Linked DNA regions of Anolis sagrei. The protein of the gene in region 1 purifies or fractionates together with the protein of each later gene. This does not show direct contact. Links are inferred from orthologs where the notes say so. Each region holds a gene or a part of one and is shown on either strand. Other genes may lie near its edges. The genes, in order: E2F6 and MGA.

The links.
Region 2: the proteins of E2F6 (region 1) and MGA purify together in Homo sapiens (affinity purification with mass spectrometry; 3 studies listed by BioGRID and IntAct, counting the BioPlex papers as one, with this or other methods). This does not show direct contact. The link is inferred for Anolis sagrei from reciprocal best matches to the Homo sapiens genes E2F6 and MGA.

The regions. Positions count from the first base shown.
Region 1 is NC_090021.1:130,944,673-130,956,498, forward strand, and holds the start of E2F6 (transcription factor E2F6), read right to left. Parts: upstream 6,010-11,826; 5' UTR 5,995-6,009; coding exon 5,812-5,994; intron 2,246-5,811; coding exon 2,152-2,245; intron 1-2,151. UniProt on the Homo sapiens protein: Inhibitor of E2F-dependent transcription. Binds DNA cooperatively with DP proteins through the E2 recognition site, 5'-TTTC[CG]CGC-3'. Has a preference for the 5'-TTTCCCGC-3' E2F recognition site.
Region 2 is NC_090021.1:288,157,502-288,169,654, reverse strand, and holds the start of MGA (MAX gene-associated protein), read left to right. Parts: upstream 1-6,153; 5' UTR 6,154-6,375; intron 6,376-9,315; exon of another isoform or gene 9,316-9,420; intron 9,421-10,565; exon of another isoform or gene 10,566-10,659; intron 10,660-11,809; 5' UTR 11,810-11,848; coding exon 11,849-12,153. UniProt on the Homo sapiens protein: Functions as a dual-specificity transcription factor, regulating the expression of both MAX-network and T-box family target genes. Functions as a repressor or an activator.

The DNA.
Region 1 (11,826 bases):
ATAATCTTTATTTATACCCCGCCACCATCTCCCCAAAGGGACTTGAGGCAGCTTATATGAGACCAAGCCCAACAACACATCAGTGAAAACAACAAAGCAATAAGCAAACAATTAATATAACTTACATATAGACAATAACAATAATTGTCGAAGGCTTTCATGGCCGGAATCACTGGGTTGTTGTAGGTTGTAGTGACCTCACTACCTCTGAGGATGCTTGCCATAGATGCAGGCGAAATGTTAAGAGAGAATGCCTCTAGACCATGGCCATACAGCCCGAAAAACCCTACAACAACCCAATAACAATAATATCTTGTCTACTGTCTTGTGTAGACTTTCCATACAAAGCAGATGAGACATTGTGCGGCCCTCCTTTCCTAGCCTCAGGTCATGCACAAAAGGCATACATGAAAACATTCTAATGCCTGGTAGCAGTGTTGTCATTATGATGAGCAACAGCTATGACCATTGGCAGTCATCCCATAGACACTGGGAGTATACCTATCACGGTAATCAGGCTCTCTACTTTTCAGAGTAGTGTTGTCCCCTTTCCCATACCTCTCCCCAATTTCAGGGTGATTGTGTAGAGACTACTGCAGCTGTTGCACAAGCATGGCAACATTTTCTCTTTATCTCTCAGAATGATTTAGCTATCACTTGGTTAAAAACTGGAGACAACCGCTTTCTTTCAAATATTTACCATACTTTGACAGAGACAGGACTTTTCTTTAGGTAGATTTAAATAGAGTTATCATATTTTCACAAACAAAATATTCACTTGTCACCTGACTACACTTGGCCTTTCACATTCACTAATATGATTATTTGTGGGTTTGTTACCCCTCCTCATGAGGCCCAAGGCCACCATGGGCACTTCCAAGCAGTCATATAATCCCAGAATATCAAGGCAAAAAATCCCACAATATCTGCTTTGAACTGAATTATCTGTGTCTGCACTGCCATATATTCCAGTTCAAAGCAGATAATGTGGGATTTTATTCAACTGTGTGGAGGGGGCCCATGTTGACATTTCCGCTGCAGCCTTGGACTTCTGGAAGGGGAACAGCAGCAATTACCAGCAATTACTGTGTAAATGTGCATGCACCAGCCTCAGGCTTCAGGATGGCATAGGAACAACAATGCCCTTCGCCAATCATGTCAGAACTATGCCGCTGCAAGGATTTTGAAAGCAGGCCATTCCTGAGGCTTTACCAATCCCTTGGCTTTGCAAGAGGTGAGGCAGCAGCAAATCCCCTGCTTGCCAGCTCCACAAGCAATCCGTGCCCTGCCCTGGGGTTAGTTTTTCCACTTTCTCGGGTTTCCTATGCTCCGAACCCTTGTGAACATGGAGAACTGACTATTCTTCAAACAACTGACGGTTGATAACTCTCACTTTAAATGCCCCTACTGTGTAAGCATCCGGATGTCCCCTGCAAGGACGTTGCAGGGGACGTCCGGATGTTTGCTGTTTTACCACCCCTGTGGGAGGCTTCTCTCATGTCCCCGCATGGGGAGCTGGAGCTGACAGAGGGAGCTCAACCCGCTCCCTCCAGATTTAAACCGCTGACCTGTTGGTCAGCACAAGGGTTTAAGCCATTGTGCTGACCGGGGGTATGTAAGTGGTGATCATTGGTACTATAATTATTCCCAACCTGCACTGCATTTAAATAGTAACAACTTTGATCTTCCTTTCACCCCTCCCTGCATTTGCCCAAAGTTGCCTCCATTCCATTTTCCCCACAAAGCCAGAGACTCCCACAGCTGTCTCACTCAGGCTGTATAAAATCCAGATTATCTGCTTTGAATTGGATTATCTGGCAGTGTAGACTCAGATAATTCAGCTCAGATCAGATAATGTGGAATATCTGCCTTTATATTCTTGATTATATGGCAGTGTAGAAGGGCCCTCAGGTAGCTCACTTTCCCTGTCCAAATCTGATTCTCTTCTCCCCACAACCCTGAGTCACTTTCTCTGGCAAAGGGAGGTCCTTTGTTCTTCTTAATATTTAGGTGATAAGCCTAATCCAAAATGTATTTGAGTAATATTTTAATTGCAAATGTAATATAATTTAGAGAGAGAATGTAGTCTCTAAATAGAGTTTTGGAACAATCAAGATAGATTTTGGGGTTTTGAGTGGAGAGCACACTTACTTCTAACTCTCACAAAAGTTGCACCTTCATCTAATTGTTGATTGCTGACAGATATAAACTGTAGATCATCTTCATTTTCAGTTTTAAATCCTGCCTGTGAAGATAAAAAGAATAATTAGAACAGTGTTTCTGGAAATTCATCTATTGCTCACGTAGGGCCCTTCTGCACAGCCATATAACCTAGAATATGAAGGCAAAAACACCCTACAATACATTGCCATATATTCCAGTTCAAAGCAGATAATGTGGGATTTTATTCAGCTGTGTGGAAGGGGCTGTAGTTTGTAAGCTGTAGCCACACAGCTGACCTATGATAACTTGGGGACCTTTTCACTCTGCAGTTATGGCCTCATGATTCCGTTTTAATGACCATGGCTACATCCTATAAAATCCCAGGGTTTGTAGTGCTGGTGGTTGGGGGAGGGGGCAGTTGAGGAGCCCCCCAAATTGGAAATTCTAGGTGTTCCTTCTAAACCGTTGCTTTCAGAAGTCTATAGGAAAATGCTGCCAGTTAAAGTGGAAGCATAGTGCTACAATTGTGAAGCGACCGGGGTGTGGCGCAGCTAGTTAGTAGCCAGCTGCATGAAATCACTACTGACCGAGAGATTATAAGTTCGAAGCCAGCCCAGGTTGGGGTGAGCTCCTGACCATTAATAGTCTATCTTGCTGTTGACCTATGTAGCCCGAAAGACAGTTACATCTGTCAAGTAGGAAATTTAGGAACCACTTTATGCGGGGAGGCTAATTTAACTAATTTATGACACCATAAAAAAAACAACCTTCCAGCAGTGTGTGGAAGAATGAGGAAGCACTCCATCAAGGACTCAGTGTCACAAGTGGATGGTAAAGTGGAAGCTCCCGCTGTGGCCAAAATCGAGCATACCCTCATGAAGCTGGAAAGCTGGAATGTTAAATTGCCTCTGTGTCTATCTATATATGTTGAATGTCTAATAGCATTGAATGTTTGCCATGTATATGTGAATTGTAATCCACCCTGAGTCCCCTATGGGGTGAGAAGGGTAGAATATAAATACTGTAAATAAATAAATAAGCAAATAAGTGTGAAAGCATCTGTGGACCCTTCTAGGCAGTCATATAAACCAGAATATCAAGGCAGAAAATCACTGCTTTGAACTGGGTTATCTGAGTCCACACTGCCATATATTCTAGTTCAAAGTAGATAATGTGGGATTTTATTCAGATGTGTGGAAGGGGCCCATGTGTCCAAAATGCTCATCCTGTAACAAATGTGACATAATCATGCTATTACACTATGTAACATAATTTTTGTTCCTGGGTTATAAATGTCACTTTCAAAGTGGGTTGTATCATTAAAAACATTGAAAAAGTTTGTTAAACTACAAAAACAAAAACATCTTTGCGGGACATCCTGCTATAGTTTTTCAATGGATATCTCAAGTCTCACCCAATTCAACATAATTTATGGCAGCCACAAAAAACAAAGTTTCTGGAGTAGAACAACTATTTTCAAACTAAGTTCTGCACAATTAAACTGGGAATAACACTTTCCAACCTGGAAAATATATTTTTCAAGTTTTGCTACATAGTGTTATTTATATCTCCACTTTTGAATGAGACTCAACGCTGATACAGGGGATATTGGTACAAAGGCTTTATGGATAATCTGTAACAATGTTTGCTCTTGAAATAATTCCTCCAACAAAAGAGATAGGAACGCTGGCAGGAAAAGTGGACAAAAAGGTCCTCCACAAAGGTAGTAAAAAGCGAGGAGATCTAGCTTCTTGTATATAAATACATAGCTATAGACCTTTCGTGTTCTAGCTTTCTAAACATACATGACAGAAAAGCAGAACACAAATAATGAAGAAACTAAGGGCCCTTCCACACAGCCATATATCTCAGAATATCAAGAAAGAACATCCCACAATATCTGCTTTGAAGTGGGTTATCTGAGGCCACACTGCCATATATTCCAGCAGAGGCTGGATGGCCATCTGTCTGGGCTGCTTTGAATGCAATTTTCCTGCTTCTTGGCGGGGGGTTGGGCTGGATGGCCCACAAGGCCTCTTCCAACTCTATATGGTAGCGAGGACTGAGACAACCCAGTTCAAAGCAGATATTGTGGATTACCTGCCTTGATATTCTGGGGGCCCTTCCATTCAGCAATATCCCAGAATACTTGTAAGGTAGGTAAACAAACACAATATAGTCAATGCAATAGGAGAACTGTAATGACCATACAGTGTTCCTTCACTTACTGTGGGTGTTACGTTCCAGGACCTCCCGCAATAAGTGAAAAACTGTGATGTAGGGACTTGCTATTTATCTTAATATTTATACATTATTTTAGGAGTTATATGCTATTTTAAGTCTTTATACACTTAAAAAAAGTGAAGGAAAGGAAGGAAAGGCCCTTCAAGGCTGGAGGGAGGACTGAGGAGGGAAAGCGCCTTGGAGAGCAGCAGCAACAAAAACCCACAAAACAGCAAAAAAACAAACAAACAAACAAACACCCTGCGATATATATTTTAAATTAATATTTTTTGAAAACTGCAAAACAGCGAGCCTGCTGAAACCGAACCGTGAAGTAGTGAGGGAACACTGTATAGGATATAGTGACAGTGAATTGGGGGTTTTGGTGTCACTATATGCTATACTGCATAGACTATATTGTGTTTGTTTACGGCCCTTCCACACAGCCATATCAAAGCAGAAGATCCCACAATACCTGCTTTGAACTGGGTTATCTGAGGGCCCTTCCACACAGCCCTATATCCCTGAATATCAAGGCAGATAACCCACAATATCTGCTTTGAATTGAGTTATTTGAGTCCATATAATCCAGTTCAAGGAGCCCCTGGTGGCACAGTGGGCTAAAGCGCTGAGCTGATGAGCTTGTTGACTGAAAGGTCACAGATTTGAATCCCAGGAACAGCGTGAGCTTCCGCTGTCAGCCCCAGCTTCTGCCAAACTAGCAGATCAAAAACATGCAAATGTGAGTAGATCAATAAATATCGCTCCGGTGGGAAGGTAATGGTGCTCCATGCAGTCATGCCTATGGCCACATGACCTTGGAGGTGTCTATGGACAATGCTGGCTCTTTGGCTCAGAAATGGAGATGAGCACCACACTTGAGAGATGGACACGACTGGATGTCATGTCAGGGAAAAAGCTTTACCTTTTCCTAACCCAGTTCAAAGCAAATACTGTGGGGTTGTATACAGCTGTGTGGAAGGGGCCTGAGTCCACGCTGCCATATATCCCAGTTCAAAGCAGATAATGTGGGATTGTCTACAGCTGTGTGGAAAGCCCCTTAGGCCCATCTACACTGTGGAATTGAGGCAGTCTGGCCCTGCTTTATGGCTCAAGGCCCTGGGAGTTGCAGATGGGTGTGCTCTTTCCCCCTTTCCCCTCCAAGCCAGAAAAGGGAAGAGTGCCTCCAAGTGCAGTCATGCTGGCCACATGACCTTGGAGGTGTCTACGCACAATGCCAGGGTGGAGTGAGCACCCAAAAGGAAAGAGCCCGGCCTCGTCCTGGTTGTTTTCAGGCTAGGTCCAGAGAAAGAGATTTCCCCTCCTCCTTTCCTCTTTGTGGCTTTTCTCCCACCCAGGAAAAATTCCCAGACCCTGCCAAAGGAGAGGCGCTTCTAAGCAACCCAGCCAAGAGGGAAGACTCACTTCCTGCCAGTCCAGCGACTCCTCCAAGCTCTCGGGCGAGACCGGGGCCGCCATCCTGGCCCAGCCTCTTCCTCCTCCTCTTCCTTTTCCTCCTCTGATGGGAGGAGGAGCCGCGGGTGACGAGGCAGAGGCAGCCAGCAGGGCCCGCCTCCAGTGGCTTCCCCATCCCCGCCAGCTCTCCATGTTGGACAGAGACTGAGAATCCTCCATAGGGACTACCAAACGCAGCGTTGCCCCAACCTGAATCAAGGAACAGACTAAGCCAACCAGAGAAGTCAGCCATAGCAGAGCACCTAATCAGCCAACCTGGGCACAGCATATTATTTGAGAACACAGAAGTGCTGGACCAGCCTCAACCAGCATGTCAGGATACACAGAGATGCTATTGAAATCCACAAGCATGGGATCAATTTCAACACAAAGGAGAAAACCATGAAAATGAACAAAATCTGGCTACCAGTATTTAAAAAAACTCTAAAATCAGGACAGTCAATAAAGAGCAACACTCAGGGGAATTCCTGACATGAAACAATCAAGGCCAGCTAACACCTCCCAACAAAGGATTCCCCAGGCAGGAATCAGCCAGTCTTTGCAGCTGCAGTGCTAATCAAGGTGGCCATTTGCAACATTCACATCTATATAAATATAAATGTAATGTCCGTTTGTGGGATTAACATAATTCAAAACCCACTGGACGAATTGACACCAAATTTGGACACAACACGTATCAGGCCAAAGAGTGACCATCACTAAAAAAATATGATTTTGTCATTTGGGAGTTGTAGTTGTTGGGATTTATAGTTCACCTAAATTAAAGCATTCTGAACCCCACCAATGATAGAATTGAACCAAACTTCCCACACAGAACCCCCATGACCAACAAAAAATACATAAGGCCATCCAGTCCAACTCCCTTCACCATGGCAAGAAAATGTAATCAAAACCCTCCTGACAAAGAGCCACCCAACCATAGATATAGATACATATGATTGACACACACAGAGATATAGTATCCTAGATTTGAAAAAAAAGGACAATGATATGTTGCCTGTTTCTGTGTAGGCAAACCTGACAATCTCTACATCAACACTGACAAAGAAACAGCAAGAAATACTGTTTACCCACAAGCAGCAATAAATTATATATATTACAATCCAACACTTTCTCATTACTTCATTTTCCAGATCACCAGACTGGGCCACAGCAACGCCTGGCAGGGGAAGACTAATTCAATTATAAAAGTAAATAAAGAACAAATCTCAAACACAGGGAAACTCTAGTCAGGAAACAATCAGAGACAGCTAATCACCTCTCAACAAAGGATTCCCCCAGGCAGTAACAAGTCACACTTAAAAACTTTCAGGCCATCAAATGCTAATGGTCCTTTGAAACATTCATAGCTAGCTCCAACAGACAAGAGTTCTTTCTCCCACCCTGGATTTTCTACTGATAAGTTGTTAATTTGTTCAGTTGCTTCCTACTGAATGAATGGACCAGCTCACAGCAGAGCTCTCAGCTCCTTCAATGTCAATCCAGTCACTTCAAGGATGCCATCCATCCATCTTGCCCTTGGTCGGCCCCTCTTCCTTTTCCCTTCCATTTTTCCCAGCAACATTCTCTTCTCCAAGCTTTCCTTTCTTCTCATGATGTGTCCAAAATACTGCATCTTGGCCTCTACTATCCTTCCCTCCAGTGAGCGGTCGGGCTTTATTTCCTGAAGTATGGATTGGTTGCATCTTCTGGCAGTCCAAGGCACTCTCAAACTTTCCTCCAGCACCACAGTCCAAAAGCATCTCTCTTCCTTTGCTCAGCCTTTCCTATGGTCCAGCTCTCACATCCATACAGGGAATACCATTGCTTTTACTATGCTTTTACTATTCCATTGATATATAAACCCAATATTCCTAGTTTCTAACAGACCTCACAACAAGCTTGGGCATCTTTAGTGTTTGCCTTTTTTGGTATGGGGATATAAATTGATTTTTTCCAATCTGATGTCAATTCTTGTGCTTTCCATATTTGCTGGCATATGGCATACGTGCATCACCTTGACAGCATCCTCTTTCAAGATTTTAAACAGTTCAGCTGGGATCTCGTCATCTCCTGCTGCCTTGTTATTAGCAATGCTTCTTAAGACCCATTCAACCTCACCTCTCAGGATGTTTGGTTCTATTTCACTCACCACACCGTCAAAGTTATCCTCAATACTATTATCCTTTTTATACAGATCTGCCACCTTCTCTTGATCTCTTCAGCTTCTGTTCGGTCCTTGCCTATAGAATACTGGAGTGTTCTTGGGCCCCACTAAATGCAAAGACTGAATTTTATGGAATTGTCTCATGTCAGTTAAAGTGGAATAATAGCACTATAACTATAGTGTGTAAGGAGCCCCCAGTGGTGCAGTGGGTTAAACCCTTGTGCCAGCAGGATTGAAGACCAACAGGTCACAGATTCGAATCTGGGGATAGCATGGATGAGCTCCCTCTTTCAGCTCCAGCTCCCCATGTGGGGACATGAGAGAAGTCTCCCACAAGGATGGTAGAACATCAAAAACATCAAAAACTGCACAACGTCTTTGCAGACAGCCAATTATCTCACACCAGAAGCAACTTGCAGTTTCTCAAGTTGCTCCTGACAAGAAAAAAAATTATAAGTCTAACGTAGATGATCATCAGTGGCTTTCAGTTAGTTCAAGTTGTTTCTTCCTTATTGTCCACCAGAGGGCAGCAATGTTATTTCCTAAGATTGTCATAACACTAGGTAACAAAATTTTTGTTCCTATGTTATAAATGTCGTTTCCTAATTGGTTCATTCATAAAACATGGAAAAAGTTTATTAAACTGAAATTTTTGTCCCTGTAGGACTTCCTGCATCACATTTGCTCTAGTTTTTCAATGCTTATCGCATCAAATCTCAACCAATTCAATATAGGGTTGCTGTGAGTTTTCCAGGCTGTATAGCCATGTTCCAGAAGCATTCTCTTCTGACATTTCACCCACATCTATGGCAGGCGTCCTCAGAAGTTGTGAGGTCTGTTGGAAACTAGGCAAGTGAGGTTTAGGGTGGGAGAAAGAACGCTTGTCTGCTTGAGGCAAGTGTGAATGTTGCAACTGGCCACCTTGATTAGCATTGGGTGGCCTTGCAGCTTCAAAGACTGACTGATTCCTGCCTGGGAAATCCTTTGTTGGGAGATGTTAGCTGGCTTTGATTATTTCATGTCAGGAATTCCTCTGAGTGTTGCTCTTTATTGACTGTTCTGATTTTCAAGTTTTTTTAAATACTGGTAGCCAGATTTTGTTCATGTTCATGGCTTCCTCCATTCTATTGAAATGCTTGTGGATTTCAATGGTTTCTCTTTCTAGTCTGACATGGTGGTTGCTAGAGTGGTCCAGCATTTCTGTGTTCTCAAATAATATGCTGTGTCAACAGGGGAACAACAGGAAAATTCCTGACATGAAATAATCAGGGCCAGCTAACACCTCCCAACTGGGCTTAAGTGGCTGAGAAGGGAATGAAAGGGCCTGAGGCTGTTAGGAATGGTGCGAGTTGAAGTCCAAAACACCCGGAGGGCCAAAGTTTGCCCATGCCTGGTCTACACTGTCCATATAATGCAGTTCCAAATTGCATTATATGCCAATGTAGATGGGGCCTCTGAAGTAGTTTTGCTTGTATTTTCACTCCATTTCTGATGTCAAATTGCTAAAATTAAATTACTAATACAAAATAGCTAGTATTATTATTTATCATTATTGTTCATCACGGACACATTGATTTAATGTGAGCCATGATGTGTTAAAGCAACGCTCCATCTCCTCGTTGTTAATTTCCTGTCAGACATATTGCACGGCAGAGATTTTGTTGAATGATGGCTAACATGACATGTAAACGCATGAATGACACACAATTTATCTTGTGATTTATGGCAATATTTCTGGCAATCATCTGTGAACTGAAACATACACAAAAGACTTCAGGGCTGGTTGCTCACCATCAATAATGTAAAAAAAAAGATTTATGCTTGAGCTGCTAAACAAGGAGGATTGCTTTATCATTTGGCCATGCAAGATGTGGAAAGCATGATAAATTAATTTACAAATGTATCTGTCCCATCTTTGGAACTGAAAAATGACAGACATTCAAAGCATAGCACAATTATGAATTTCAGTTGACAATGAAGAAGTTCCTGATGGCCATGAAACCATGCTTTAGAAAGTTTCTATTGATCCTCCATTGTGCATGTGGCAGGGCTCAGACTGCATTGTAGTAAGTGGTCTGTGGTTTGCTCTTCTCTCCACTTGCATGTTGTGGACTCCACTTTATAGCCCCATTTCTTAAGGTTGGCTCTGCATCTCGTGGTGCCAGAGCACAGCCTGTTCAGTGCCTTCAAAGTTGCCCCTGGGCTGAGAACAGCGGTATATAAGTAAAGTAAATAAATAAATAATAAATAAAGTTGTCCAGTCTTCAGTGTGCCCAGGAGGGAGTCTCTTATCCAATCTTAGCCACTTATTGAGGTTCTGGGTTTTAGCCTGCCACTTTTGGACTCTTGCTTGCCGAGATGTTCTTCCTACTATCTCTGTAGAGCTTAGAAAGCTATTTCACGAGTTAAGGTGTTGGCATGGTTGATATCCGAACAGAGGATGGGCTGGAGATGGCAATGTCTTATTTCTTTCATTACAGTCTGGTACTTATCAATGGTTGTCAGGTGATGAAATACCGGCTAAACAGTATAATTTCTCCAGTGGTGTAGGATGTAGACATCCTGTGATAATGCGGCATGTCTCATTAAGAGCCACATCCACTGTTTTAACGTGGTGCGATGTATTCCACACTGGGCATGCGTATTCAGCAGCAGAGTAGCAAAGTGCAAGGACAGATGTCTTCATTGTGTCACTGTCCAGAGTAAAGTTAGCTAAGGTATTGCTTTTAAACTATTCAATTTTTTCTTTTGAAGTGGTAGCTAAGAATTGTACTCTTCTATGCATGGTTTGCATATTCCTTCAGTGTGACTACAGATCAGCTTAATGTATTTCTACACAAAATCTAAAATCCAAATTTCGCCTCAAAGCTTCAGAGCTTCAAACTAAGTTTAAAAATAGAAATTATATTGTAAGTGGTTACATTAAAAAAACCATCTTGAATAGGTTTTATGGATTTCTAACCATCATATTCAAAATTTCAGAAATATCCCCCCCCCCCTTCTTATTTCAGGTTTCTTGACATTCTGGCTTTACATTAAATGCACTGGCAACAGCTGTACCTTCAGACAGAGATACAGATGTGGGAAAATAAATGACAATTCTTCAATTACATCGGATTTTCAAACACACACCCCAACCCCATTTCCTAGCATTTCAGTTTGAAACAACTGCTGAGTATACATCTTGTTGGGTTGCTGTGAGTTTTCCAGGCTGCATGGCCATGTTCCAGAAGCATTCTCTCCTGACGTTTTGTCCACATCTATAGCAGGCATCCTCAGAGGTTGTGAGGTCTGTTGGAAACAGGGCAAGTGAGGTTTATATATCTGTGGAATAATGTCCTGGGTGGGAGAAAGAACTCTTGACTGCTTGAGGCAAGTGTGAATGTGGCAATTGGCCAGCTTGATTAGCATTGAATTGCCTCGCAGCTTCAAAGTCTGTCCACTTCCTGCCTGGGGGAAAACAATCAGAGCCAGTTAACACCTCCCAACAAAGAATTCTCCCAGGCAGCAACCAGCCAGGCTTTGAAGCTCAAAGTGCATTCAATGCTAATCATGCTCATACGGGGACATGAGAGACGCCTCCCACAAGGATGATAAAAACATCAAATCATCCAGGTGTCTCCTGGGCAACGTCCTTGCAGACAGCCAATTCTCTCACACCAGAAGCGACTTGCAGTTTCTCAAGTCGCTCCTGACACGACAAGAAAAAAGCTGGCCAATTGCAATATCCACACTAGGATGCCTGCCATGTGGTCAAAATATCAGGAGTGAATGCTTCTGGAACATGGCCATACAGCCTGGAAAACTCACAGCAACCC
Region 2 (12,153 bases), about 160 Mb from region 1:
ATGTGTCACCTGTGCAGAGGTGTTGCCATAGTGACGGAACCGGCTGTTAGAATGTTTCCAAGTTAGAGAAGCCAAAGGGGCGGAGCTAACTGCCACCTGACAAGGGCAGGCATTTTAAAAAGTCAGTTTCTTTTAGTCGGTGGACAAAAGTGGAAGCTGTGTTCTAGTGTGTGGAGAAACCGAACCCAGGGGTTCAGTTTCTTCAGCCTGTGTGTTTTCAGAGTCAATTGGACCTGCTTAAATTAGTAATTAACTCATGAGCTAAGGGGGAAAGGAACTCCAGTAGAAATCCATAACTTCAGTGGGGATAGCTGAAGGGGAAAAAAGGCAAGCCGGTGCCTTGAATTGTCAGTTAAGAAAAGAAAGATACTTTGCAGTGAATAAGTTTAAAACCAGTCTGATGGAAGTAAAAGCCATACTGAGAGTTATATTGGAAACTGTTTAACTAAAGTCAACTGTAACAACATTTAAAGGAATACAGAATAACCATCAAATGTTGTACATCTGTGAATCCCTAAATAAATATTTCCTTGATCAGTTTTTTATAATTAAAACTCATGTCCATTTATTGAGAAGAAGATTTACCTCAGAAGAAGGCGGCTGAAGATATTGGAAGAAAGGATTCTGGATGGGGTAATGAGTTACTCCTTTTTAAAAAGGGCCTCAAATAAAAACATTTTTAAAAGTCAAGTCTCAGCTATACGCACCATCACTACTTTAGTCTCCTCATTACCCTGGTTATATATATATGTGTGTGTGTGTGTGTGTGTGTGTGTGTGTGATTTGTTCGTCATGTTTTACAGTCAGTGACTGGATTTCTGTTTCTGATTATCTGTAAAGCTTTAAATAATTCATGTACCGCAAGTGGGAAATTTTTGGTGAATTTCTTGCTGTTTGGTAGCCCAGGTTTGTTTTTTGTAGAATTACTGACAGAGGGATCATTGCAATGACAAACAGCAGTGGTCACAGTGAGTCGCCCTGGAAAATTCCTCTCTTGATGTTAACAGTACCATAGCTTTCATTGCCCACGAACAACTCCGTTTTCCATTGTTTCTTGCATTTTCAGTGAACTTTCTAATATTTTCACAAACCCTGATGACATCTAGACATTTGATAATCCAACAATGTGGCAGTGAGTCAAATGCTTTTTTGTAATCAATCCAAGTTGTATAGAGGTTTGTTTTGTGGCTTTTGCAATTCTCCAGTATCATTTTGTCAATCAGAAGCTGATCTTCCGTGCCCCTACTTCTTCTTTTATTGCCTTTTTGTTCTACTGGCAAGATGTTATTTTCCTCCAAGTAATCCTGGATTTGATCAGCTATTATTCCTGTCAGCAGTTTGAACATTGTAGGCAGACATGTTATTGGCCTGTAGTTTCCTGGTATTATCCCTTTTGCTGGATCTTTCTGTATCAAATATGTCTTCCCAGTTGTTATCCATTTGCTGACGTTTCCTGTTTGTAGCATCTCATTGAATTTTTTGCCCATTTTTGAGTGCATGCTAACCAGATATTTAAGCCAAAATCTGTGCCATTTATCATTGCCAGGTGATGTCCAGTTCTTAACTTTCTTCACTCTTTCAGTGATCATTTCTGTTGTTATTTCCAAGGTTCTCATTTTGTTCTCCGAAAATTTATTTTCAAAGTCTTTTATCCAAATTTCTAACACTTCTGTAGTTGTTTTGCTTCCAGTTGCCCTACAGGCCCATGATCTGGTTGCTCAGCAGCGGGTCCTGGTTCCTGTAGCCCACTTGTCGACGGGTGCCCAGGAAATGCACTCGCGGCAGTCCTTATTATCCTGAATGACAACCAAGTCAGTATAGACTTCATTAGTTTGTTTCACCATATTTAAATGGGTTGGGTGCACTTAGTTCTACTTCTCAGATGAGACCACTCTGGCTTGGTTGAACCTGCTGGTAGTTTACACTACCACCAGCACAGCTCTCAACATCATAGAAGCAGTTTATTTATTTATTCATTCATTCATTCGCTTCATTTATATACCGCTTTTCTCAGCCCTTAGGCGACTCAAAGCAGTTAACAACAACAATTTCAATACACACATTACAAAACCATTGGAGCATTTAAAAACAATAGCATAACAACAATTAAACATCAATATGACAATATGACAAATCATTCATGTCTCATCAATAAGCCCCCCGCAAATGACACAGTGGCACCTGATGGGATGATGATGATGATGATGATGATTAGTATTATTAATGCATGTAAGATCTTTCCCATTTGAGGATGGCTAAATTCAAGATAGTGGTCCTTTCAAAACACCTCATGTTCTAGATCCAGTATTACTGTTAAGAGCACCTTTATCTTTCTTTCTATTCCTTTTTTTGGGTGGAAAGCTCTTCATTACAGGCCTTTGCTGCAAATATCTGCAAAAAAAAAAAAACCCAAAAAAGAGCAACCAATGTGATGTTACAGAACTAAGAGATGGCACCTTCCTTTGTAAATGAATGGTCAAGATGTTCCTTTTCAAGCCTTATACCTCTTCCTTTTTCACTGAAACAAATATTAAAACATGAGGTTCATAACTGCACACATGCTCTTGGCTTTTGTGGTAGTTTATTCAGTTGTAAAGCAGTTATGAAACATTATCACTGCCTGATCTTGATAAAGTTTGTGGAAGAGGTTAAACAAAGGCAAGATATGGGCTGTTCCCATTATTCCTTGGAATGAGATGAATAGAGAGCAATCACCTCAGGCACACATTTCTCCACATAAAAACACTTATAACACAACAAAGAATAATAATTCTTGGTACCTCGATTTTTAGGCCTGTTCCTAAAAACTGGGGCACTGTTTCAGAAAATTGCATTGGATAGCCACATCAGCTCTAATTTCTTCAATATGGTTATCATGGCAACTGGTAGATGGCATATATTGCAGCTCAAAAACCTGAAATACAGACAGTATAGGGGAAACTGGTGCCATTTCTGGAATCAGAAGGTTAAATATACCCAGAAATAGGACTAACATTTGAGGTGCCAAAATGTGTGCTGCCCAGTATTGTTTATAACTGTAGCTCTGCAGGTTATTATAGTAATGGATGTTGAATTTGAATGCTTTGATATCATCATCATAGACCACGACATGCAAGTGTGGAAAAGAACAAACCACTGACCACCTACTAAAATGCAGTCTGAGCCCTGCCACATGCACAATGGAGGACCTTCTTACAGTAACATCAAAGGCATTACAAGTGGCCAGCTTCTGGTCAAAGGAAATTTAGCATAATTCCAAGTTTTTAACTTTGTAGTCTTTGATACATTATAACTGTATTCTCAATTTGCTTCTAACACAAAAATAAATAAAATCATAGACTATCATTTGTGGTTGAGTATGATTGCCTTCCAAGTGTAGGGTCTCGATGGTGGATCTGTAGGTGACTGTATAGACCTATTCCTGATTTGCATGTTCAATTGCAGCGAGAACATAGATTTCCAGATGGAAAGTGGTCCTGACAACAATTGGCTTGATGTGCCTTCCTTTATCCCTTTCGCCCTTTTATCCTGTACATGTGGCCCGCCCACTGTTATCGTGATTGTGTTTATTGGAATGTTATTTTGTTACTGTATTCATTTTTTTCTTTTTATGTAATTTTGATGATGTTGCTTGTTGTTTATGTTTTGGTTTTATTTTGCTGTAATATGTTGTCTGGGCTTGGCCCCATGTAAGCCGCTCTGAGTCCCCATTGGGGAGATGGTGGCGGGGTATAAATAAAGTTTATCATTATTATTTTATTATTAAACCATGTTTAATCTCTTTAATAATACATACGAGGACCTTTAGATTTTTTTATTAGAACTTTAGAATTCGGAGATTGAATATGCCACTTTACCTACAGCAGTGCTTCTTAACCTGTGGGTTGCAGCCCACCAGTGGGCCATGAGGATGAAAATCTAGTCCGCGAGCCTCCTTCCTCTTTATTTTATTTCCGCTCTTTCGCGCTGTCTGCCACTCCCTGCTTCTGACCATGGCATATGTTCTGTATCAGAACTAGAGCTGATGTGGTCTAGCCAATACAATTTTCTGAATCAGCACACCAAACCAAATCTAAGTTGATCAAAAACTGATTTGTAACCCTTTTGGTACTAATGTTGGAGAGTGGCTCCTGGTCATAGTCAATAGTCAAGTGGTCCCTGGTCAAAAAAAGGTTGGGAACCACTCATCTATAGCAATTGCTGTATTTTATTGTTTTTACTAGGGGATACTGTATATTTATGATGTGTTGACTGTTTATTGTCTTATGTTTCGTTTTGCACTTGTATTTTGCATGCCACACCTTGAGTGTTCTGTGAGCCATCCCGAGTCCCTCTGGGAGATGATGGCAGGGTAGAAATAAACTATTATTATGGCCTTGCAGCTTCAAAGCATAGCTGATTGCTGTCTGGGGAGGTCCTTTGTTTAGCTGGGAGAAGAGAAGGTGGATAGGGAACATGAAAACCATGTTTCAAGATTTAAAAGGTTGCCCCATTGAGGTGGGGAGTGGGGAACTGACTTTCTGCTGCTCTGGAGACCAGGGCATAGGGGAGCAATGGTTTCAAAAGGCAGGGGAAAAGATTTGACTGAAAACATTAGGAAGAAATTCCTGATTGGTGGAGACGAGAGACAGGGCCTTCTCAACTGTGGCTCCCTGTCACAGACAGGGAGCAAGTGTTGAGAAGGCCCTGTCTGTGGAATTCCCTCCCCAAAGACATCAGACTGGCCACCTCCCTCCTGTCCTTTAGAAGAAAACTCAAGACTTGGCTGTGGGACCTTGCATTTGACCATTGAACAGCGGGTTGTATGAAGACATCAGCAATTTTGAAGTGACAATGAATTGACCTGGGTTTTAATTGGCGTGTTTTATTTAATATTTAATGTTTTGTTTTAATGAATGTGTTGATTATTCTTATCATCATGATGGCACCGAATGGTGTTTGCTGTGAGGCCGCCCTGAGTCCCCCCTCGGGGGTGAGAAGGGCGGGGTACAAGTATATGAAATAAATAAATAAATAAGAGTGGCATAGGCTGCCTGGCAGTACGATGGGGTGGTGCCCCTGGTGGCAGAGTGGGTTAAACCCGTGTGCCGGCAGGACTGAAGACCGACAGGTTGTAGGTTCGAATTCGAGGAGAAGTGGATGAGCGGGGACATGAGAGAAGCCTCCCATAAGGATGATAAAAACATAAAATCATCCAGGCGTCCCCTGGGCAATGTCCTTGCAGACGGCCAATTCTCTCACACCAGAAGCGACTTGCAGTTTCTCCAGTCGCTCCTGACACGACCAAAAAAAAAAAAGTATGATGGGAGTTTCCTTCTCTGGAGGCTCTTCAGCAGCGATCCTTTGTTTGGAGTGTTAGCTGTCCTGACTGATTCTTGTCTGGAATTCCCTTTACAGATACATAAACCTCACTGGCCTAGTTTCCAACAGACTTGGAGGATGCCTGGCATAGTTGTGGGCGAAACGTCGAGAGAGAATGCTTCTGGAACATGGCCACACAGCCATGAAAGCCTTCGACAACACATTGTCCTATTTGCCTCTCTCTCAGCCCTTCTCATCGGGGCGCGCGAACGCGCGTGAAGGAGCCACGCTGAGGAGAAAGGCCGAAAAGCGAGGGAATGGAGACTGCCTTCGCGCTTGACAAAACGCCCAAGCGCCAGTCTTGCCTGAAGAGAAGGCTGGAGGCACCGCGAAGAAACGCAACGGCTCCCCCGCAATGGCTCCGCGAGAGCGAGGCAGGCAGGCGGCACAAGGCGAGGCCTCCGGGAGAAGCGGGCACGCGCCTCTCCGCCTCGCTCCCTTTCCATTCAGGCCACAAGAGGGGAGGGGGCGGCGTTAGGAGCGGCCCTCTACCGCGCGAGCAGCGGAAATAACTGCCACTCCCCGCCCCCTCCCCCTCCCAAACATTCCAGAACCTTCCGCGACGTAGCCTACAGCTTTAGGAGGAAAAGCGAACAGAACATGCGCGGAAAGGAAAGCGAGATTGAGAGAGAGGAGAGAGAGAGGGGGGGGGAGAAAAGCGCATGCGCAGAGTAGGTGGGTGCAGGGGGATGTGGCCGAGCAGCAGAGAAAGGAAGGAGGCGCCGGGGCACGTGACAGCCCGCAGGCGAGGAGGCGGCGGCGGCGGCGGCGCGCGGGGCCGGCTCTGCGCAGGCGGCATGGGAGGCGCGCGCCGGCGACGTCACATGGGTGGGTGCGTGCGCACGCTGTCCTCTCCACGATTTGATTCTAGAGCACAACAAGACAGGGAAGGGAGAGAGGAGGGGAGGGGGGGGGGAGCGCGCCCATGGCTTCGCTCGGTGACTGATTGACGGACTGACTGGGACGGAGACAGGCCCCGGATGGCGGGAAGCGCCGAGGAAGACTCCGAACAAGGTCTGTCTGGCGTGGGGCCGCGAATCCGGGAGTGGAGGATGGAGGAGGAAAAGGTTCTCTCGCGCGCAATTTTCCCGCGTGGCTCGCACACATCTCCTGCCTATGGAGGAGGCTGGCAAAAATGGACACCCGCGGGCGAGGGCCTTGTCGGAGGCCCTTGGGGGGGGGGGGGAGGCGTGATCGCGTCGTTTCCTCGCGTGCCATGGAGGCGCATCTCGCCACGCGGGGCGCTCCCCATTCGAAGCTTGTTGGCCTCCGAGGGGCCAGGGGAGCGGGGCTTGTTATGGGGCGCCGGGCGCTTTTGCTCAGGCCTTCCCTCGGCCTGTTGGTGGCTGAAGTCCGCCGGCTAATCACCCCACGCAGCTCTGCTTCTGGCGGGGGAAGGGAGGGAGGCCAGCAAGTGTTGTTCCTTGGGACGGAAGGCTTCCTTCCCACTAGAACAGTGGAAAGAAATACATAATCAAAAGAAAACGAGGGTGGAGGCGCTTTAAGGCAGTGGTTCTCAGCCTTCTAAATGTCGCAACCCCATAATTCAGGTCCTCACGTTGTGGTGACCCCCAACCATAACATTATTTTCATTGCTACTTCATAACTATGATTTTGCTACTGTTATGAATCGTGATGTAAATATCTGATATTCAGGATGCATTTTCATTCACTGGACCAATTTTGGCACAAATACCCTATATGCCCAAATTTGGTGGGTTTGGGGAGATTAATTTTGTCATCTGGGAGTGGTAGTTGCTGGGGTTTATAGTTAACCTGCAATCAAAGAGCATTCTGAACCACACCAATGAAAGAATTGAACCAATCTTGGCACACAGAACTCCCATGACCAACAGAAAATACTGGAAGGGTTTGATAGGCATTGACCTTAAGTTCTGGAATTGTAATTCACCTACATCCAGAGAGCACTGTGGACTTAAGCAATGATAGATCTGGACCAATACTCAATATGCTCAAATGCGAACACTGGTTTAGTTTGGGGAAAATAGACCTTGACATTTGGGAGTTGTAGTTGTTGGGATTTATAGTTCACCTACAATCAAAGAGTGTTCTGAACCCTACCAGCGATAGAATTGGGCCAAACTTCCCACACAGAATCCTCATGACCAACAAAATACTGTGTTTTCTGATGGTCTCTGACACCCCCTCGAACCCCCCCCCCCCCCGGGGTCCTGACACCCAAGTTGAGAAATGCTGTATTAGGACTTCCAGGGCTGTGACCACATCGCTTTTCCAAGTGTTTTGTGCTTCAGGTCCCAGAATCCCATATTGTTGGCCAAGACAGTTGAGGCTTCAGGGACTTGGAATTCCAAAACACTTGGAGATCTAGAGCAGGCATGGGCAAACTTCAGCCCTCGGAGTGTTTGGACACCAAGTCCCTCCCACAATTCCTAACAGCCGATAGTGATGTTGAAGTCCAAAACACCCAGAGGGCCAAAGTTTGCCTGTGCTGGCCTTATAGGATTCTGTAGCATTCAGTCAAGGCAATTAAATGGGTGTCAAAACTGCATTAATTCTGCAGCGTGGAACCACTCCTGGTCAGAAGGTCACAAGCACTGATTGGCTGAATATTGGTGGATTGTTTCAGAATCTCCATCTTCAAGCATGTTGCGGGACCACTTGTTTGTAACCTTGTCTTAAGTGTGAAAAGTTAAGTCTTAGGATTCATCAGATGTGCTTTCTTTCTATTAAGTACTTTAAACAAATGTTAACAATATTTGTTGATCAGCACTAACATCAAGCAAAATCCTAATATTTCAATATAATATATTCTTACTAGTATTCAAATCCAGGGAGCGGGGTGAGCTCCTGCTGTTAGGCCCAGCTTCCGCCAACTTAGCAGTTCGAAAACATGCAAATGTGAGTAGATTGATAGGGACCACCCCAAACGGGAAGGTAACGGTGCTCCATGCAGTCATGCCGTTCACATAATCTTAGAGGGGTCTATGGACAACGCCAGCTCTTCGACTTAGAAATTGAGATGAGCACCACCACCAGAGTCGGACAGATGTCAAGGGGAAACTTTTACCTTTTTTATTCATTGATCTATCTCAGTGGTTCCCAACCTTTGGTCTTTCCTGTGTTTTGGACTTCAACTCCCAGAAATCCCAAACAGTTTGGGCTTCCAGAAATCTCAGCCTATTAGGAATTGTGGGATCTAAAGTCCAAAACATCCAAAGGGCCAAAGGTTGGAAACCACTGATGATCTGTATGTTGAGTGAGAGGCAGTGTCCTGTAACGGTTTGAACATTGGGCTATGGCTCTGGAAACCAGGATCCAAATCCTCACTCAGCTATGGAAACCCACTGGATGTCCTTGGGGAAATTTCATTATCTAAGGACTTGAAATTATTTGAAGACACACAACAAGAAGTGTATGTGCAGGTTTTTCAAAATGGTACTGCAACAAGTTAGATTGTGATACAATAAAAGCATAAAACAGCTAAAATCAGCGTCAGAATTATACATGTTGAGTGCTCACTTACTTAGGCAATCCCTCGTTGGCCGAGTAGAATAGTCTTCCGGGGCAGTATTCTTGTTGGTTCCTTAGGTGGCTGTGGCGTCCTCTTCTTGATCTGCATCTTCTCCTGCAGTGAAGGCATTGATTTCCAGGTGGAAGGCAGTCTCGGTTGGGGTTGGCTTGACGCGCCTTCCTCTTGGCACGTTTCTCTCTTTCACCCTCCATTCGTGCCTCTTCAAATTCTGCAGCACTGCTGGTCAAAGCTGACCTCCAGCTGAAGCGCTCAAGGGCCAGGGCTTCCCAGTTCTCAAAGTCTATGCCAGAGTTTTTAAGGTTGGCTTTGAGCCCATCTTTAAATCTCTTTTCCTTTCCACCAACATTCTGTTTTCCATTCTTGATTTCGGAGTAGAGCAACTGCTTTGGGAGACGGTGGTTGAGTATGCCTTATCCAAAATGCATGTGCTCTGCATATGGGCGCTTGCTTTGGCACCACCTATATTAAAATTGGAATGATACAGAGAACATTCTCATGGTTTCTGCACAAGGAAGGCATGCACATTTGTGATATTTTAGTTTTTTGGGCTGAGCCAGGGATGTGCTGTGAAGTGGTTTCTATATGTGAATAGGTTTTTAATTATTTTATTGGTTGTAACTTCATTTGTAATACACAGTGTTTAATCAAATTTTAATGTGTGTATTTTTTAAGGTTTTGTTTGCATGTTTTTAAGGTTTTAAATTATTTAGGGTATTGTTTTTAGTGTTAGCCACTTTGGGTCTGTCTTTAGAGATAGAAATAATAATAACAATAATAATAATACCAGAAGATTTTTTGAATTTCAGATATTTTTAATATATTTGACTGCTGGTATTTGCATATATGTACATGGAGATGTGACTTAAGTCTAAATATTAAATTAATTTATGGTTTATTTACACTTTATATACATGACTTGAAGGCAACTTTATAAAATATGTTTAATAATTCTGGGCCTGAAGCAAAAATTGTGTACATCAAGCTAACAGAAAGCAAAGGTGTCATTATCTCAGCCACCTATGTGGGCAGTTATGCACTTTGGAAGACTTTGGATTTCAAATTAGGGGTGTACTTTTTTCCTATGCTGATGTATATAGAAATAGGAGCAAATATTTCCTCCATTTTAGTATCTGAGGTTTGAATTACATATGAAGGAAAAATAGTCATTTTGGAAAGGTTCTGTAGATTACTGTTTTTAGCATTCAAAGTAAAGTGCATTTCGTTGTGTGTAGACTTTAGTGCACGAGTCTTTTAATTTTTATAGTAGTAAAACAATACCAATAGAATTCAGTGGTGCTGCTTATCTAAAACATTGCAGTGCCATGGTAGGATAACATTTTAATTTAAGATACACTGTTGCATATTATTATACAATGTACTCTATTCTAACTACATTTTCAAAGCCAGATGATGTAAACATTGTGCTGCTATCTCAAAAATGTAATCATTCTTAAAACTGTTACATTGTTTTTAAGAGAGAAAAATTAGAAAATCGACGTTTATCATACCTTAATGAGGATTTGGATTCAGGCTTCAATATTTCTGTTCCTTGTTTTAAAAAAATGCTGCTGGATTCATTCAAGCACTCATATATTTAGTGGTTGGTTAACATTAGTTAATGTCAATGTTTGGCAGGTTCAAGGCATGGTGGGAAGATTCCCCTCTTCCTTTGTGGCTGAAGGTGATAAAATAACCCAGGATAACAGGATTAATTGTGTTTCTAGTCAGAGTATCTCCATGCATTTATCTTTCCATATGATAATGCATTATGGCACCCTATTGAGGTAGGCTTACTATGTTGTGAGTTCACAGTTTTGCTGATACTAGAGGAAAATTTTGTTTGAGAACTTAGTGTCCAACATATCATTTCAATAGTTTATTTTATAAAGAAACTTAAATGGAGGCGAATTCTGTCAGAGTTTGTGTTGATTGATTTTTCCCTAATGTAGTTGCATGATGTTTACTTGTTTACAAATTAATGTTGCAACTACACTTCTGTGGTAGCTTTTAAAACTATGTCTTGTCAATGTTACAACTTCTGCATTTTATAAAAATTACCAAAACATTTAAAAAATGAACATTAACTTGCAAATGATTTTTGTCTCCATGGTTACTTTTGATTAGATGCTTGGTTTTAAACTTAATTTTTTGTAATGTCAAAGAATCATTTACTAAATTTTTCAGAATTGAAAATAAGGTTTGAAGGGCAGGATCTGGCTATATTTGCAGAGTTGGAAGTGACTTTCTTTTCCATACTCTTAACTGTTAGAGTGTGGAAAAGAAAATCACTTCCAACTGTGCAAATATAGCCAGCTCCTGCCCTTCATACCTTATTTTCAATTCTGAAAAATTTAGTAAATGATTATTATTAATGTTGGGAAAATACTGCAAGTCCCAAATGTTGCACCTGCTTACTGGGACAGTAAGATTATATCTCCCTATATAAGCCTGCCTGAGATCTTTTGAGGAATGACTTTTTCTTGGTCTGATTGTCATAGGCTTATTTGATGCTGTTCTCAGCTTCTTCCACAAAAAGCAAGGCTAGTCCCTTCTGCTTTCCTTCCATTTGCCGTGGAAGACATTCTTGTAGCTTTAGGTGGTTATGCAGAAGAGTATTTTAGTCATGATTGTGTGCTGTACTTCTGTTGTCATTTTCTTATAAAAAAGTTTATAATGCTCTAAAATTTGTTACTATATTTTATAATATTCTAATAATACAGGTAGATTTTAGCCGCTTTGTTTCCTATGTTGCCAGTAAAGAAGGCTATTTTAAAAATTAATAAATAAATATGTAAATGATTATGGAATGTGACTAAACTGATGATAGCAGTGTATTGTTTGTTGCATATGCTGGTGAGATCCTTTTAAACGTACCATGTTTTCTTACACTGTATAAATGTTCGTTACATACTGGTTTTGGTTTTTTCTTCTCAGTATGACCAACATGAAAGAAAATCAATTCGCACTGTGAATATGGAGAATTTTGTAGAAATTTCATCACTTCCCAAAACTGGGAAGCAATCAATCAGATTAGGAAACCAGAATGGTGGAACAGTTCCAGGTGCTGCACCTGCTCTTTATGTCCTTGTAAAACAAAGTACAGGAAAATCTGACCAGGGAAATTCGGTTTCAAATCAAGATGACTGTGATCTTCCCAGTAGTGCAGCACAACCAGTGTCTAAAGCAAAGAAATACCTTCCAGCTGAGTGCACCTCAGGAAACGTTACCGTTACCTTGGACAACAGCAATATGTGGAATGAGTTTTACCATCGTAACAC